Arabidopsis thaliana: one gene and its partners. The protein of the gene in region 2 purifies or fractionates together with the protein of the main gene of each other region. This does not show direct contact. Each region holds a gene or a part of one and is shown on either strand. Other genes may lie near its edges.

Region 1 (7,065 bases), on a different chromosome or scaffold from region 2:
TGATTTTTGTTTCTTAGGTAGAATCATTGACAAATACAGAAGAGGTTGAGCTACGTTCTAAGATTGAAGCTCTTGGTTTAGAAGTCACTAAAGTGCCATCAAAGTCTGCTCAACACCTCAATGAGGTCTGTATCCTGTGTTCACTCATATATCTGGTACACATTGTAATGTAAATCTGAGGCTTTGTGTGTGATTGTTTGTGTTTTCAGGTGGAGATAGCTAAGGAATTGGACAAGTTATCAGCAAAGTTAGATGATGTGGATGAGATGATATCATCAGCTATAGCTTCTGATCCACAGGTTCAGACGCTTCTTAGCGGCACAGCTGATGTTTGGATGCCGGTTATCACTGCCGGCGCCGAAGAGAGACTCAACTTCACAGCCTCTCTTGCTGATGATGATGACCTTTCTAACAAGGAGACTACTACCGACAATACCAGCAGCTCTTAATCCCATTTTCTTTTTGATAAACTCATGTCGAAGTTTTCTATTTTGCAGTCTTGTTTCTTTTATGTATATCAAAACCAAGATAAGCTTTAATTCATGAGTGATATTGATGTTTGATTTTTACGCAAACTGAATACAACTGTTTATTTATTATCACGAGTTTCCCGGAAATGCAAATTTGCACCAAGCATGTGTTTCTCAGGAACAATTTCTACATGAACAAATGTTTCTTCTGTCAATAGAAGGTAAAAACAAAAAAAGCTATCCAGTGTGGAAGAGAATGACTTTTGTTGAAACACGAGAGAGTGCGACAACTCAGGACTCGGTGGTGACTTAAGCAGATGAAGCTTTCTTACAATGGGCTTCAAGCCAGTCCATGGTAACACTCTTTGGCCTCTCAAGTGCAAGTCCAAGAGCTCGGTCCCATATAAGCTGTGAATTAAACACAAATGAGAATGGAGAGCATATGAGTTCTGTTTTAAATGTTATGTAGTAACAAAGGCGTAATGTGTAAATATATATATGTTACCTGAGAGCAGATGCCAAGACTCCTTGAAACACCAAAGAGCACGGTGTAGTACCTATAAAACGCACAGATATTATATTTGAGTGCTATCCTAAGGCTCAATGATACTTGAAGGAGGTGTCTACTTCTTACCTTGCTTCGGTTAGACCATAGTGGTTCAGCAAGACCCCACTGTGAGCATCAACATTTGGCCACGGGTTCTTCACCTGTAACAAGCCATCATCGGATTCGCAAGTAAATAAAAAATTGATTCGCAAGAGATTCATAAGCCCCTAGCATGTAGGTAAGGTGTTGTGGAGTTGTTGGTGGAATATTGAAGGATCACCATGGTAAACGAAGGATAGAGATACTACCTTTCCAAGCTCAGTGAGAACAGGAGGCACAACTTCATAAAGCTTTGACACCTACAGAGTTGGAAGGATTTTGTTAGCTACTGAACATTGATAGAATTTTGAGAACCGAACAGAAAAGAGAAAAGAGAAAGAAAAAAAGTACCAGCTGGAAAAGAGGGTCGTCAGGTAGATGCTTCAAGGCAAATTCTCTTTGGCATACATATCTTGGATCAGTATTGCGCAGAACACCGTGACCATATCCCGGAATAACCTAGAGACAAAACAAGACTCGTCAATAGATCATCATTAGACTATCCTTGTAACATTACATCCACAAGGTAAACTAGGATAGGGAAAAACAGGATCCAAAGCTCTTATGGCAGTATTACTTACTAGGAGCAGTTAGAGCAACTGACCAAACTATGAGGTCGTAAATAAGAGGACCCATAACAGTATCACACAATAAATTGAAATATTAGCCTATTATGATGACTAGTAGACAAGATGTTAATTCATTTTCGCATGCTCCATCAGTCTTGTTGGCTGGCTTCAAAAGTGGGATTCAGGTACAAGACCAGAAAGTAAAGAATGTCAAGGCAGAGGAATTTCCTGTTTTTACCTTGCCACTGTTTAATGTTTTCCAAACATATTCTTTCAACTGTTCTTTTGATATATCTTCTCCACATTCCTCTACGACTGATTTGATCCAAAGCAAAACTTCCTGTTGAAACAATAATAAAAAAAGACTAAGAATTTGTTTTCTCCAATTTATGGTTGTATCATCAAACTATCACAACCTACCTAGATAAAATACAAAAAGCCACTTACGAAGCTCTATTGTAGATTGAAGATTTAAGACTTATTCAAGATATAGACAAGGGAGGATACCTGATTAGCCAAACCATGGAGTGGCCCAGCTAAACCATTTAATGCAGCTGCAAATGACAGATATGGGTCTGAAAGTGCACTACCAACCTACATGAACAAGAATTTTTAGCAAAAGAACCATTAGAAACTTCAGGTAGGTCAATCCTTTAAAATTGACACATGGAGAGTATATACATACCAGGTGACCAGTGTGAGCACTAACATTTCCACCTTCATGATCACTAGAGCAAAAAATAGTAGAAAAGCAAAATGTTATACAAAGGTCTATTTAAAGTCTTAAAAAGAACAAACAAATTTACAAGATAATTAAGCTTATTTAAGGAGACATGCATGGGTGACGAAAATTAATACAGACCTGTGGATGGTGATGTAAAGCCTCATGAGCTCTTTCACCTTTTCATCATCAAATCCCAACATGTGGGAAAAATTTGCACCATAATCCAAAGATTTATCTGAGGGAATGGAATCACCATTCTTATACATCCTGCAATGATGCATGGAAAAGGTCAACAGTCAATACAAAGCAAAAACAAGAGATGGCAAATTTTCCAATAAAAAAAAAATCATTGCCGAAAATCCAGAAGCTACAAGAAACATGAAAAAGAGTACAAAAAGAGTCTTCACTAACCTTCGATAAACATATGCAGCTACAACAGGAACACGAGCAATCAGGTTGAGGCAATCCTCATATGTTGGCTCCCAGAACCTGGAAGAAAAAATCTTTGTTATGATGCCAGCTAATATGAAACGCTATCATGAACTAAATCAGAACCCCAAAAGCATACTTTGACTTATGAATTCCATTCTCATATGCCTTTTGAAACTCACTTTGCACCTGGATATTAGGTAAAGAAAATTATCATTCTGCTGAAAATTGTTTACTTATAGCCAAAAAAAACAATAAGTTTCCAACGCTTATCACAAGAAGAACAGAAACAACAATACGAGTTTAGAGAACCACACCTGGAGGGCCATAACACCGCTAGCAAATTGAGTCATTGGATGAGCTGTGGAAGGCAGAGCATCGATGGCATTGTACACATAATCTGTATAAAAATTGGATACAAGTTAAGAATGAATGAAAGTATAACACAAAACCCACAAATTTATTTCATTTCTGTTAAGCAATTTCTTGTAAGCATTGATGTCAAACAAGTTTGAATGAGCCAATAAACAGACTCCTTTATTTGCAACAGCCAGAGCGAAAAAGGTAATATCCAAACCTGGCACAGCAGCACGGTTCGCCAAGTCTTTCGACAGTGCTTCAACTTGCTCTTTGCTAGGTACCTATACGAAAAAGGGTAAAAAAGGATATCATAAGATAATCTATTGAGGAAAACTAATCGACTGGACATATCCAGAACCAACTTATAATAATGTACAGAAGAGCCACACCTTTCCAGTTAAGAGAAGCCACAAAAGACCCTCCGGTAATGGTTCAGCTCCAGACTGGGCAGTAGGTAATACTTTCTGGCACTCAGGAATCGACAATCCCCTAAAGCGAATACCCTGAAATAATGATAAGATAATTGCATCAACAGCCTTAGAACAGGAAGGAGGAGCATTTGATATATTCTATATCTAGGATCTAACCAAGCTATTGTAACTATATACAGAGAGTTATACAGTACCTCTTCCGGGTCAAGCAATGAGGTTTCCCAAAGCAATCCAGTCATCCCTCTCATTCCACCAATAACCTTTATTTCAAAGGGGATTATGATGAGTTATGCAATGGAAGGTGAAAATCATATAAACAAACCAAAAACGTGAAAATCATGATTGTTTCTACCATATCAACAGTGATGTTTCCCAGTTGGACCTTCCCATGTTCTGACTTCAGTTTCTTCAGACGGTCCTGAAATTGGAAAATTCTTGTGAGAAAAGAGGAAACTAGAAAAGCAAAGAGATTCACTACAACTAGCCTGCCTTCTTAACTTAACAATCTCAGCTAACATAACAAATAATACACACATTCAATGAAAAAAAAAAGTCAACAACACAAATTTTCATTTAAAGCAAACAGAGTCTAATCTAACCTGCTGTTCCGGAATTAACTCTTGCAGCTGCGACTTCAGGTCCTGCATTGCCACCATTTAAACAAAATGAACAAAGACCCCACAAGCAGCAGATCCCAAACCAATATTAAACTTACATATGATCATGATCATGAAAACTACATGATCACGATCACACACGAAAGTACGAAGCAACGGAGATGATTTACCAGGTCGGTAGAGCTCTGCATCTGAATCCATCTGACAGAATTGCTGAGTGAAGATTGTTGGCCCTGCTTACATAGATTCGATCACCAATCAATCGATTAGCATGAACCAGCGAGATCAAACGAGAACAAACACAAAACTGGAAACAAAATTTTCAAATACTTACGACGCGAGACCTCAGCCTAGTAAAGGCCGATACGCTGCGGAAAAACACCATTCTCCAAAACTCAAAACCTGTGACAGACAGTATCCACCCAATTCTCAAAACAAATCGATCCGTGAAAAAACTCAAGCAATCAACACTCACCAAAATCAGAAACAAACAAAAAAAGTTTTATCGCCGAATCAAATAATTCAACAAAACTCAGAGATTCGATCAGCGGAATTCACCGGCGAATTCAGATTCCAGAAGAAGAGAAAAACAGGACTAGATTCTCCGAAAATTATGGAAGACCAAAAGGAAATGAGAAACACTATGAAGAAGCGAAGAAACATACCAGAGATTCGAGAGCTTCACGGAGATCGAGAAAAAAAAAAGCGATTGTTGAAAAAAATACTAAAAGCTGCGTCTGCGTGTGATGTACAAAATCAATCGGCGAAAGGTGAGCAAATGACATTTGTATATAGCTGGAGCAGGTTTATTACTAAATTCCAATTTTGACCTTCGAGTACTTTGAGAAGGCAAACCAAACTAAACCGGTATTGGAGAAAATAACCTTTAGGCGTATTATTCCGGTTTTATGAATCTCAAAAACAATTTCGGTGTACCGGTGTGGTTATTTTCGGCAATTGTTGATAATCATCATTTATTTCCTTTGCCTTATTTACGGTATTGTTGATAATCATCATTTATTTTTGGTTTAAGAAATCATACTAATATTTATGTGAGCTTTTCAAGCAGCCGGAACGTTTCCAAATCTAGAAAAGTCAGGTTTGAAATTGTCCTTTACAATGTTTTCATCCAATATTATGCAACCAAAACCGATTTAGACTAAAACAAATAATCCCAATGCCTGAAAAAGTAGACTAATTAATAAGTATAACATGTGCAGAACCTTACAAAATAAGATAAAATAAATGTTGACGTTCGAGAACTTTGAGAAGGTAAACCAAACTAAACCAAAACACAGAAGCAAGGGAGTAAACCGTAATCATATACCTTTTCGTTCTTTTGGAAACCAGACCGAATAATTTGGCTTTATATGAAAAGGTCAACGGACACTAAAATCTCAAAACAATTTTGGTGTACCGTTACGGCTATATTCGGTTCGGATCAATTTTCTTTGCATTTTGTTGATAGGTTATATCATTTTGTTTTACTTTATTTTGATAAAAGGGTTAATATTACTCACTGTTGAAAATGATATATTATACACGTACATCAAATATGAAAACACGTTATTTATTTTAGTTGAAGTACTACATGTATAATAAATATCATTTTCAACATTTGTAACAAAAGATTAGTAAACAATAATAATAAAAAAAATAATTTAGCTTGAGCCAGAATATTCTTGTTAACTTACAGTTTAATTTAATTAGTGTAACTGTACTTTAACCGAATAACCGTTATGTAAGTATCGATATTCAATATACACAATCAATCAGAGTATCTATATCGAAAACAAGTCGATCCTTGTTCTAATTCCATACAAACTTTTTCCCCAAAATTAAAGTACAGCAATCATCACATTTATCTGCACACCAAAGAATTAATACACATCCAATAATAGCACATCAATGAAGTTACATAATAAAACTAGGGCTTTTTTGACCGACCACATCTTAATTAGATACAGCCACTTCTCCTAGAAGGGCTGCACGTAGATTAAACTCTCTTCATCACAACTCTCAACCTTGGCAAAGTCAGTCCCGCCAAAAGTTTATGTCTCTCATCATACCCATTTGTTATATCTATATACAACTTCTATGCCTTTTTTCTCCCACAAAATATGACCTTATCGTTGCGATTAGATCTCATCTCACCAAATGCGATTTGCAGAATCAATAAGATTGAAAACCCTAGAAATTAATCTGTTATTAATTAAGACGAATTATGAGCCTTTGTATCGAAGTTGGTGTTGTTGTTGTTGTTGTTGTTGTTGTTGTTGTTGTTGTTGTTGTTGTTGTTGAAGATGAAACCTTCGACTTGTGAAGAAGAAGAGGATCTCATGGGAAACGAAGAGAAGTAATCTTCTCCGACATCTTGAATTAAACCTTCTAGATCAAAGTACGTGTTTGTGTTCGAAGTACTCTGATCACCTGATCCCCACTCTTCTTTCACCTGGTGGTTTCCTCCGTTTGCTAGTAAACCGGTGAAACCCGAAAGCCTGTTGACCGGCTGATGATCATCGCAAACCGGTTCTTGGGGAGTCGTAATTCTTGATTTGGCTCTCTTTTTACCGGTTTTGGCTTCTCCCGGTGCCGGTTTCCCGGTTAGACTCTGGACGAGTGAACGAAAGTTCTTGACGTCGGTCTTGATGACCTCCGGTGCAAATATATGGATTATGCGAATCTTGGGTTTGATCTTGGATATTACTTGTGAATTCCTGTTCATGGAAACCCTAGAACTCGAACCTTCATGAAAACTTTGATATTGAGTAATCTCCATTGAAGAAACTATAAACGATTGAGAAAAGATTTGATCCTTT
Region 2 (5,659 bases):
CTTTCAAGCCTCCAAAGGTTAAGTTTGAGACATGTTGCTTCCACCCCAATGTTGATGTCTATGGCAATATCTGCTTAGACATTCTTCAGGTAAAAATATACCTTCCTCTTGTGTCTTTGTTCTACACTGAATCAGAGAAGACGTGCCAAAGTTAATCCGTTTACAACATTTTCATATTTGCAGGATAAGTGGTCATCTGCTTACGATGTGAGGACGATACTACTATCGATTCAGAGCCTCCTGGGAGGTATTCTATGGTGCATAACTTTTGATTTCTTGTTAGCCCTTTTTGTTGGTTAATCCAATATCTGATACATGTTTTCGTTGATCAGAACCGAACATCAGTTCACCATTGAACACTCAAGCAGCTCAGCTTTGGAGTAACCAAGAAGGTAAACAGACAGGGGATTTAACAGTCGTTATGAAATCAAACTTCTTTAGAGTACCACAGTTATGAGTTTCTTATGTCTCTTTTGTTTCTCCATACGCAGAGTACAGGAAGATGGTTGAGAAGCTTTACAAGCCTCCAAGTGCATGATTTCTGCAAGCTGTTCTGATTCATAAATCTCCAATGCCTCTGATGATTTCACATAAAACGATTTTTCAGAAGAAAACACTGTCATTCATTTGCTTTATTCTTTGTTTTTGAACATCAGAAGTTCTATCTGTAACGTTACCTTGAGTTCAAATAATGAGTAGTATTTCAGAGATTAATCAAAAGGAAAAGATACTTTATTATTATTCATCTTAAAATGGAAAAACACTCAGTATCAAAGTACAATCGCCAAATTTTTATTGTGGAAGTGAGAAACGACGATGAAGGAAAGCCTTGAAGCTTTGACAGATCTACCAAACTTAAGAAAGGCCACGAACTTTTCCAGTTTCAGTGTCAATATCAATCTCGTAGAAACAAGGTCTTGTAGGAAGTCCAGGCATTGTACTCATTGTACCAACCAGTGGATATATGAAACCAGCTCCAATGCTTCCTCTTACATCCCTAATTGGCAATACAAACCCTGAAGGTGCTCCTTTCTTTGATGCATCATGTGAGAATGAGTACTGTGTTTTCGACATGCATATGGGAAGATTCGAGAAGCCTTGTTGTGTGTACATCTCAATCTGTTTCTCTGCCTGTATTTTACATATCACAGGATAATAGATAAGTTACATAAACAGGTTTCTTTTGACAACAATGCAAAGAAATTGAAGAAGTCGGTCTAGGAATCAATCACCTGGTCTGAATATTCAACACCACTGGCTCCATATGACTTAGCTATTGCCTCAATTTTGTCTTTGATACCAATGTCCAATGGGTAGAGAAACCTGAGGGGCTGTGTAATGTTTTGACAAGCTTTTTCAACCGCGATACCAAGATCCACCTATAACATTTACAAGAACAATTCATCTATCAATAAGATGAGATTGCAAACAAAATTGCATATAATCACATAGTGTTGGTCTCGAATAGAGAAGATTACCGCTCCTTTACCACTATGAGCATGGTGGGAGCAGACCACAGCATCAAAAGCACCGGCATCCATTGAAAATTTCCTAACTGCATTTAGTTCTGCTTCGGTATCTGTTGCGAACATATTCACAGCAACAATTACATTCACACCGTAGGCCTTTGTGTTTGAGATGTGCTTTGCCAGATTCACACAGCCAGCTTCAACTAAGGAAACATTCTCGCTTACATAAGCACGATCAAGAGGTCTCCCGGCAACAACATCAGGCCCACCTCCATGCATTTTCAAAGCCCTAACAGTCGCCACAACAATTGCACACTGAGGCGTTAGCCCACTGTAACGGCACTTAATATTCATGAACTTCTCTGTTCCAATATCAGAACCAAAACCCGCTTCAGTTACCACAAATCCACCAGGTCCCACCAGCTTCAAAGCGATTTTATCAGCAACAATCGATGAATTTCCATGAGCTATATTTGCAAAAGGACCAGCATGCACTAGAACAGGGGTCCCTTCCAGTGTCTGCATGAGTGTCGGGTTAATAGCGTCTTTCATCAGAACAGTCAAGGCTCCTCCAACACCGAGATCATCTGCTGTTATCGGATCCCCTGCCTTGCTGTTACCAATCACCATTTTACCAAGCCTCTCTCTCATATCACCTAGTGAGGTTGTCAAAGCCAAAACAGCCATAATCTCACTAGCAACAGAAATGTCAAAACCAGTTTCTCTAGTCATCCCCTTTTCCTCAGGTCCCTGACCAATAGTAATCTTCCTCAAGAACCGATCATTAACATCCATCACTCTTCTCCAAGTGATAGAAGCAGGATCAATATCAAGCCTCGCAAACTTCTTTATCTCCTCGGGAGTAAGCTCCTCAGGACTGGTCTTGGATATCCCAAGCTTTGTCAATCTCCTGAACATAATGTCACTGAAACTACGCTTCCCTTCTTTATTCGGAGGGCACAGCCTATTAAAAAGAGCCTTGTCGGATTGAGACGTCTCATGGAAAATCCGAGTGTCGATTGCAGCAGCTAAGAGGTTGTTGGAAGCGGTAATCGCGTGAATATCTCCAGTGAGATGAAGATTGAACTCATCCATAGGAATCACCTGACTATACCCACCACCAGCTGCACCTCCTTTGATTCCAAAGGTGGGTCCTTGTGACGGTTGGCGAAGACAAGTAACAACCTAAGCAACAACACTTCACAAATCAATACAAAGAGAGAAGTTTGTCCAAAAGCAAGCATAAGGCATAAGCTAATAAATGAAAGCAAGAGAGAACCTTCTTATCGAGGTAAGCGCCTAAGGCTTGGCAAAGTCCAACAGTGGTAGTACTCTTGCCTTCTCCAAGAGGAGTAGGAGTAATCCCTCCAACAACAACATAGTATCCATCTTCTTGTCCTTGAAGCTCATCAAACGCAGACAACAAAACCTACAAGAACAAATCATCAGTTGATTAGCTCAGAACACTGAACCATTGGTTTAACCAGCTTCTGATGTTTTTGGTGAAACTAAAGTATCAATCTTGCCCACCGACAAAAAAGAAGTAACAGCAAATTAACAAGAAAAGAGAGCTACTTGGTAGGAAAATGGTAATATGAATCCAAAATCAATCGAAAGTTATAAACTTTGAGCTTACGTAACTGCCTACTCAAGCTCCAAAAACTCAATCATTAACAATCTCTTGAAAATTTATTTAAGTTTGATCGAAACCAATTCGAACATAATAGTATCTTATAACCAAAAACGGAGTTCTTTTGGATCCTTGTACCGACAACAACATAGAGACAGAGGAAGATTCAGATGAATAATTTAATTTTCAAAGGGAAATGAACAAAAGGGAAAAATGATGATTACCTTAGCTTTATACTTGCCATAGAGATCGTAGTGAAGAGGGTTGATATTAAGATCTTTGGCAATCTCAGAGATGTGTAAAGGCTCGACGGAATTAGCTATGTCGATATCGGCGGGAACTGGTGAAACAACCTCAAGCTTTCTTGTTGATGAACTCATCGCACTCTCTGTCGAAGTCTGATCTCGCGTTGGAGGATGAGAAGATGGATGAGGGACTCTGATGAATTGATGATGTTTTATAAAACTTTAAAGCACATCCTAATATATTACAGTAAGTAGCAAATACATGTTTAGATCATTATCCATATTAACCAATGAGAACGATGACGTTTTTGTTTTTTTCCCTCTTTTTCACCTCTTAATAAATATATTTTCAACACACATAATTATTGAAGGCCAGAAAATGACGGTTTCGCCCTCGATCTATAAGCGCAGCCACTATAGTTTAGTTTGGCCCACTGTTGTCGTCAATTTAAACTAGTACTATACTAGAAAAGAGAATGGAACTCGGATTTGTTAGGCTACCAATTTTCTTTAATCTTTACATAATACTTCTTAAGACTGTACTATTAAATTTGTTATTTTTAATAAAATACTGTTGTTTTTGAACTATTCCAATACAGTTTCTATAGATTTACAGGAAGCCACATTTCTTTTCATTTAAACCATCATTTTCATTGCACCAATACTATTTTATTATACAACGATGATAGTTTTTGTCAACATGTATAATGTATTGGGGTGAACGGATTCCGAGGTGTCTTGATAAATGGTGCCAATTTTTCCTCTCGACAGATATGGTGTATAGAGTTTTAGACTTAGAATTGAAGAGGCACGAGAGGGTCAACTATTGATGAATCAGTAACCTTGAAGCAATATATATTTTAAGCAATCTATATAAAAGCCCTATGGAATATGTCTAGGACTAAGCCTTCTTTGCGTATCTTACATAGTGAAATCGATGTCATATTAGTCCATTAACATAAAATGGGCTTACAGCTTTAGCATTTTCTGACCCAAAATGAGGCAAAGAAACGACGTCATTTAATATAAAGTTATCCATCCATTTCCTAAAGAAGATAAAATGGATGCAACCAAAGAGAATCAGAATTTTGATTTAGGATGGGTTTGACATTCTTATTGTGTGATAGATAACGTAGTTTAAAAGCAATACAAATGTAGTAGATCAAGTTGAAACAGAAAAGAAAGAAGAACATAAAGAGAAGAAAATCCCAAATAACAATGATATGATGATGCTGCTGAGAATAATAAACAGAAAAGGGCTATTCCAAAGGAGGAGCTCGATGCTATCAATGATGCTGAAACCTTTTTTGCAGAAATCTTTTTCCGGGAAAGTGTGTCAAACACAAATTTAGGGAAAGTGGTAGGTTTAGTGAAAAGTGATATTGAGAAGAAGAAGAGAAGCAGCATGCAAGAGACAAGTTTAATGAAAGTGATAGATACCAAAACTTGTATGAGTTTGGTTGTATGAATACTTGTATTTGTATTGAAAGATATTGTCTTGCAAAAATTTGATTTTTTTTTTCTTGAGAACCTACCATTGGAGGACATTTTTGTTAAGATAGTTTCTTTGAACCTACCATTGTGGTTTGGGACCCATTCTAGAAGAAAACCATATGGATCCAACCGATAAATCGTCATGACAAGATATTCGAGGTCTATGCTCTCGGTTACAATAACAAGGACTTGTGCCATAACTACAAAATCTTGAGGTTTATAGATATATGCTTGGAAGTCTATGATTTTAGCTCTAATTTATGGAGGAGTTTCTTGATGTCGTCTCTCCCGAAGACGACTTAGTATCCACTGGCAAGTCGTTGAAGGGAAATGGTTACTCATTGCTCAGTTTTGTTTTTTTCAACAGAGAGGTTTCAACTACTATGTGTGCCCTTTCATCAAGAAGCTGCAGAAGTAAATGATATTAAGGCTCTCTCAGTTGTTAGAGAAGAACATCTCTCCTTATTATATCAGAGTGCAAAGAAACTAAAGATGGATATAAGGGTGACCAATGAGATTGAGACAGTGGATTTAAAACCCCATGGTTGTTTGTTTTCGAGTTCCCTAAGTTTCCACATTGACGAAGAGAAGAAAGTTGCTGTTTGCGGTGAGAAAGTCATATACAACAAGATATACATTGTTGGAGAAGATAAATACACAAGGTATATCGATCTTCTGGTTTCGGTAGCTTTGATGGTCGGTTAAGTGTGTTTACGTATGTTCAAAGATTGATTTAAATCCAACAATATGTAATATCCTGTTGGACATTGATCATTTTGTATATATTATCATCTTAAATGTTTTATTCACATCTTCTGGAT
Region 3 (6,262 bases), on a different chromosome or scaffold from region 2:
TGGTTTTGGTTTTCCGAGGATGCCGTACGGCTTAAGCAAGTCAAGTCCATCACATACTTGAGTTGGAATTGTATGTTTCTCTTGCACCACTGGACTGGCCATGACAAGGAAGACTAGGATATGTTCTAATAATATATTTCCTGTCCTAGCTAGAAACCTCTGCTCTCGGTTTCTAATAATTCTCGGTAACAGGATCCAGCGACTCCTCTGAAAGTTAGAGAAAACTTGTGAGGAAGAAGACTCAAAATCAATTTCGCATTTCTGGCTTTTTGTGATTACGAAGAGTCTTATACTTAGCCAAATATCTGAAGGTTTAGAAGAGAACACGTTGCATCTTACTGTTCACTGAAGATAGCAAATGTGTTTTGTAGAATCATCATAAAGCTTCGTAGGGAGCTTCTTAAGATAGGAGGAAGCTTCTGTTTGATCCCGAGGCTTTGAATTTCTTGACTCTGCTTCTGTTCACTTCAAACACTCTGTTTGAGCGGGACTGGTTGCATGAGTATTGTTTATTATGCGATAATTCACCAAAGACTAATCAATACATATCAATGGTCATCATTTGTCTATCAAAGTTGAGGAACAATAATATGGTGTCTCAATCTGAGAAAGACTGTTTCTTTACTTGTTTGACTTTATTGTTTTTGCAGAAGAACCAAAATGAAAACTCTGTAGAACAAAATTTCGACGAAAAATCGTTTTTTTTTTATCTCTAAAAGCTACCCAATCAAATGGAAGAGAAGGCTGAAGTGATAAAAGAGAGAACCTTGACCAACATCAGTCAGGGATTAACTTAGCGGTTCAAGCGCGTGAAGTTATCGAGCCAGTCCATGTTTACACTCTTTGGTCTCTCAAGTGGCAGTCCAAGTGCCCTGTCCCATATCAGCTGAAACAGAAAAGGAATAAAAGATTAGTCTGACTTTATTGTGAAGGATATGGCGATACGTACTAAAATCGAATTGTCGATGGCATGAATGTATGTATGTACCTGCGAGCAGATTCCAAGACTTCTTGAGACGCCAAAAAGCACCGTGTAGTATCTATATTTGAAAGGAATGTCACTCTATAATAACCAAGATTCAGCAAAACAAGGTCAAAGCCTCGATACACAAGTAGTTCCTACCTTGCTTCGGTTAGACCATAGTAGTTCAGAAGCACTCCGCTATGAGCATCAACGTTAGGCCACGGGTTCTTGACCTGATACAGCAATTTCAAGATTCATAAAACCAGAGAAAATCAGAAAATCTGGTAGCACATGAAATGAATGAGTATAAGTAGTACCTTTCCCAGCTCGGTTAGAATAGGAGGCACCACTTCATAAAGTTTTGAGACCTATAGACTTGCATAATTTGTGAGCCAGTAAAATTTTAAAGCATGACCAAAGATTTGAGGGGGAAAAAAAGTTACCAGCTGAAAAAGAGGATCATCAGGTAGATGCTTCAAGGCAAACTCTCTTTGGCATATATATCTTGGATCCGTTTTACGCAAAACACCATGGCCATATCCTGGAACAACCTGCAAGACAAATGTTTATTTAAGTTTCCTGACAACATTCACAGGCAAACCCCATAATCAAAACATAATCCGAAGCTTTTATTCATTATTTATACAATAATTCAAGTTATGGCCTGTCATGATTAGCATGCAATACATATGGATAGTTTCAAAAGGCAAAGCAGAGCATAATTTTGTCAACCTTGCCACTGTTTAACGTTTTCCAGACATAATCTTTTAGCTGTTCCTTTGATATACTTTCTCCACATTCCTCAACAACTAATTTGATCCACAGCAAAACTTCCTACAACAAGACAACGAAAAAAAACAGAGTAAGATTCCAAGTTTAAGCTTATAATTAAGAGTCAATCTTAGAGTTCAAGTTATATACACTTGTAGATTCGAACAATATAAGACTCATTAAGGATATAAATACCTGATTAGCCAAACCATGGAGTGGCCCAGCTAAACCATTCAATGCAGCAGCAAATGAAAGATATGGATCTGAAAGTGCACTCCCAACCTAAGTGAAGAAACATCATTAGCCAAAAACAGAACCATCAGAAATGTCTATAAGTTCAAAACATTATCATGCATCAAGATCATGTGGCAAATACATACCAGGTGACCAGCGTGAGCACTAACATTTCCACCTTCATGATCACTAAAACAGAAACCAGTAGACAAGGGAAAAAAAAACCTTGATCATGCTATAGAAATTTGGTAAGAGTTGGTAAAATAAAGGAAGATCATCATTATATACAAGAAAACTTTAGCTTATGTATTCTAATTAATGAGACATGTTGAAACGAAGAGAACCAGGACTAACCTGTGGATAGTGACATAAAGCCTCATGAGCTCTTTCATCTGAGGACTATCAAATCCCAGCATGTGTGAAAAATTTGCACCATAATCCAAAGAATCATCTAATGGAATGATGCTACCATCCTTGTACATCCTGCAATGTGAATTAGAATGGACATTGAAAAATAACACTCTGAAGAAAGGAAAATCTAAGAAAATTAACTAGTCCAGGAAGCTAAAAGCATTGGAAAAGATCCTAAAATTTAACCTCCGATAAACGTATGAAGCTACAACAGGAACACGAGCAATCAAGTTTAGGGCATCTTCGAAGGTTGGTTCCCAGTACCTGACAAGAAACCTCAGTTTCTATGATGCCTACTACTATAAGCCAATCAAGAAACAAAGTATAGAACTATTGAAAGTTTATACTTTGACTTAGAAATATCACCCTGCTCATACGCCTTTTGAAACTCACTTTGAACCTGAATAACAATCAACAAGATAAGATGCTCCTGAAAATAAACAAATTCTAAGAGAATGCATAGAAAAAAAAAATAGTACATAACAGAGCAATCCACCTGAAGGGCCATAACACCACTAGCAAATTGAGTCATTGGATGAGCTGTTGAAGGCAAAGCATCTATAGCTTTGTATATATAATCTGCAATGGAGAGTTGTTATATTTGCAACATCATAATATCCAGTTTATAATTATCATCAGCTTGTATTTTGCTAAGTTTTGATGAGTCATGAAACTGAGGTCATAAACAAACAGAGCCTAGAGGTGAACTACAAACCTGGCACAGCCGCACGATGAGCCAACTCTGTTGACAAAGCATTAGCTTGCTCTTTAGTTGGCACCTATACCGAAAGGAGGGAAAACTATACTTTAGATCATTCATATATAAAGTTGAAACTTATTGTATGTATAAAATGTTTTAAGATTATCACACCTTTCCAGTTAATAGAAGCCACAGAAGACTCTCAGGCAAGGGCTCTTCTCCAGACTCAGCTGAAGGTAATATTTTCTGACATTCAGGAATCGACATGCCTCTAAACCGTATTCCCTGATACAAAAGATAATATCATATGTTATATAATTCTAATTCAAGATCTGACCTGAAAATTATCTATGTGATCAAAATTATAACCATACCTCATCTGCATCAAGCAATGAGGTTTCCCAGAGTAATCCAGTCATCCCTCTCATTCCACCAAGTACCTTCACAAATACCACATGTAAAACTATATATACGAGTATGTTTAAAAGATAAAGCCTTTGTGTAATCACAAATATCATTAGAATCCGTACCATATCAACGGTGATGTTCCCCACTGGAACCTTTCCTTGTTCTGATTTCAGTTTCTTCAAACGGTCCTGAAAGTTGAAAGTTGTGTTTGTGTATGAGAAATGACATCAACTAAAACAGAGAGAAGAGCTTGATCTCTACATGAAATCTGCCCTAAAATTAGAAACAATCTCAATCACAACGAAGTAGAAACTAAACCTGTTGTTCTGGAATGATCTCTTGCATCTGCGACTTCAAGTCCTGCATTACCATCATTTTAAGCAACATCAACACAAAACCTAGAAGGTAAAATTCCAAATTTTTGGTTCTCAAACTGAACCGCATGATCACGAGAACATGAAAACCTAAGAAAGTACCAATTCAGAAGAGTGGAGCCATCTGACGGAGTTACTAAGTGAGGATTGTTGCACCTGTGCTTCTTATATTAGATCTGATCATCAAATTGTATCACATCAAACAAAACACAAAAAGGATGAAAGCTAAATCTACTCACTGCTCGAGACCGTAGTCTTGAAATGGCTGATACGCTGCGAAAAAACACCATTCTTTCAAACCTCACAACACTGATCGGTTACGAATCCAAACAATCAAGATTGGCTTAACCAGATAAGAGATAAAGGGAAAGAGAAAGCGTGGAGAAGAACTAACGGGAAATTCGAAAGTTTCTTCAACGTAGAGAGAAAAATTGAGAGATGTTGAGATATATCTGCAACGTGATGAACAAGCGTCAAATTACAACATATGTAAACCAAACACACGGATTCTTCTTACCAAACCGGTATAATGAACCAATTGATTACCATTTAGAAAACCAAACGAACAGGTTATGTTCGGGTTCGGTTGAGATTGGTTAGTTCCGTCGGTCCGTGAGACGCAAGATTCGAAGCAGCCGTAACGATTCTAATGCCTAAAAAAACGGTCATTAATAAATAAAGAACAAATGGTATGTAGCTTTTGCTGTTGCTAAATAAAAAAGTAGCTTCTTGGTAAAGTCCAAGGGTTTAGATAAAACATAATTTTATTTTGTTGGAAATAAATAAAGTAAAAATGACATTTCACAATTGAAAAAAAAAGTTATAAACTTCGTTATTATAATTTCTTGGTCGAATGGGCGGTTTGATATTCTTCATTCTCCATTAGTTATCAGAAATTTTTATATTCTTTTGAAATACTATTTAATGATGTAACACAACTATTAACAATGATGGATATAGCTATAGCTAGTTAATATTAAAACATTGGATATCATATTATATGACACTATTGATCGTTATGTCATCCAAAAAATAAACTGATATTTCAATGAATGAGATTGGAAAAATATGACATATATCCATTACAACTCATTATAATCATATTACCATATCATTTTAATGTTTATGAAATGTGAGTCCACCTTTCATAATCTAACGTTTTGAGAAGTTAAAATGTAATTTAGCCATAAAGTTTTGAAGGTATATATCAAGAACATCGCCAATAAAACAGAACTTTATTCATTTATATATTCAAATCGAAACTCTTTTAGAGTCATGTAAGAATCATTTATCATTATAGTATTTCGTTAATTCAGTTTAATGGAATTCATTTTTGTTTTATCAAACAATTTGTTGTAAGTAACATGACTTATATATGAATTAACAAACAAAATAATTTGACGAAAAAAAATGAACAATCTAAAAAATTCAATCACAATATCATTCTCGCTTTTCTATATATAAAACTTGCACACGCACGCGTGAGTACAACGTTACACCATTTTTAAGTAGAGTTTTCACATGATCGGAGATCAAAACACAAACTTACTTTTTCTTGGCAAAATCAGTCTACAAACTCATCACTACACTCTTTCTTGGTAAATTAAGTCAGTCTAACAAATTAAATCAAAGGGCACCCAAGCCCAAAAAATCCAAACATTTGTACATATATACAAGTTATGTATGTTCCTACCTATATAGATGATCATCGTCTCAACCTTGGTCTTGTCTTGACCCATGTCTTGTTATGCTCCATATCGAATAAATGATCAAATCATCATCAAAACCAACAGGACTTACGATTAGTAGAAACCCTACATATTAGGGTAAGGTGTGACCAAACTAATTATTGTTGTTGAAGATCAAACCATCGACTTGAGAATATGTTGTCGTCTTCATCAAGATCGATCAAACCGTCAAAATCAAAGTAAGTATTTGTGTTTGAACTTGATCCCCATTCTTCCTTCACCACGTGGCTCCCTATTATTCTGTTGTCCAGTTCAGCCGTATGTTCTTGGCCGGAATCTTGAGGCAAACCCGGTGGCGCAGGAAAATTTGTGTTGGTTATCTTTTTCTTAGAACCGGTTTTGGTGATCTCCGGTTTCCCGGTTAGACTTTGGACGAGTGTGCGGAAGTTCTTGACATCGGTGTTGATGATCTCGGGAGCAAATATATGGATGATACGGATCTTAGGCTTGATCTTGGTTATTATTTGGGAGTTCTTGTTCATGGGAACCAAAGTTTTTGAATAATCACCATAAAAGGTTTGATGAGGAAGATGATCTATATCGTACTCAGCCTTCATAGAATTTCTCACCATATAAACGTAAAAAGAAGATGAAGAAGCGAAGATTTTGGGTTTTTCTTTTTTGGATTTCAGGTTTCTTGTATTGTTTTGGG

The links.
Region 1: the proteins of THFS (region 2) and ATCS fractionate together in Arabidopsis thaliana (co-fractionation; one large-scale study listed by BioGRID). This does not show direct contact.
Region 3: the proteins of THFS (region 2) and CSY5 fractionate together in Arabidopsis thaliana (co-fractionation; one large-scale study listed by BioGRID). This does not show direct contact.

What each region holds. Positions count from the first base shown.
Region 1 is NC_003071.7:18,314,239-18,321,303, reverse strand, and holds ATCS (Citrate synthase family protein), read right to left. Parts: upstream 5,027-7,065; 5' UTR 4,912-5,026; intron 4,885-4,911; exon of another isoform or gene 4,722-4,884; intron 4,649-4,721; 5' UTR 4,632-4,648; coding exon 4,581-4,631; intron 4,483-4,580; coding exon 4,417-4,482; intron 4,271-4,416; coding exon 4,229-4,270; intron 4,048-4,228; coding exon 3,982-4,047; intron 3,890-3,981; coding exon 3,824-3,889; intron 3,702-3,823; coding exon 3,588-3,701; intron 3,480-3,587; coding exon 3,416-3,479; intron 3,239-3,415; coding exon 3,156-3,238; intron 3,028-3,155; coding exon 2,978-3,027; intron 2,899-2,977; coding exon 2,821-2,898; intron 2,677-2,820; coding exon 2,548-2,676; intron 2,414-2,547; coding exon 2,371-2,413; intron 2,280-2,370; coding exon 2,193-2,279; intron 2,026-2,192; coding exon 1,924-2,025; intron 1,576-1,923; coding exon 1,468-1,575; intron 1,377-1,467; coding exon 1,326-1,376; intron 1,179-1,325; coding exon 1,105-1,178; intron 1,028-1,104; and 5 more. Other genes in the region: AT2G44360 (ecotropic viral integration site protein), read left to right, coding at 18-125, 210-449; AT2G44340 (VQ motif-containing protein), read right to left, coding at 6,459-7,025.
Region 2 is NC_003070.9:18,699,884-18,705,542, reverse strand, and holds THFS (10-formyltetrahydrofolate synthetase), read right to left. Parts: upstream 3,662-5,659; 5' UTR 3,480-3,661; coding exon 3,324-3,479; intron 2,899-3,323; coding exon 2,749-2,898; intron 2,655-2,748; coding exon 1,479-2,654; intron 1,380-1,478; coding exon 1,233-1,379; intron 1,132-1,232; coding exon 856-1,131; 3' UTR 605-855; downstream 1-604. Other genes in the region: UBC20 (ubiquitin-conjugating enzyme 20), read left to right, coding at 1-89, 184-247, 333-392, 492-538; AT1G50470 (F-box associated ubiquitination effector family protein), read left to right, coding at 5,099-5,171, 5,251-5,543.
Region 3 is NC_003074.8:22,190,778-22,197,039, reverse strand, and holds CSY5 (citrate synthase 5), read right to left. Parts: upstream 4,311-6,262; 5' UTR 4,153-4,310; coding exon 4,102-4,152; intron 4,019-4,101; coding exon 3,965-4,018; intron 3,849-3,964; coding exon 3,807-3,848; intron 3,677-3,806; coding exon 3,611-3,676; intron 3,521-3,610; coding exon 3,455-3,520; intron 3,366-3,454; coding exon 3,252-3,365; intron 3,160-3,251; coding exon 3,096-3,159; intron 2,960-3,095; coding exon 2,877-2,959; intron 2,781-2,876; coding exon 2,728-2,780; intron 2,645-2,727; coding exon 2,567-2,644; intron 2,453-2,566; coding exon 2,324-2,452; intron 2,159-2,323; coding exon 2,116-2,158; intron 2,018-2,115; coding exon 1,931-2,017; intron 1,799-1,930; coding exon 1,697-1,798; intron 1,516-1,696; coding exon 1,408-1,515; intron 1,333-1,407; coding exon 1,282-1,332; intron 1,198-1,281; coding exon 1,124-1,197; intron 1,041-1,123; coding exon 989-1,040; intron 887-988; coding exon 794-886; 3' UTR 593-793; and 1 more. Other genes in the region: AT3G60090 (VQ motif-containing protein), read right to left, coding at 5,709-6,182.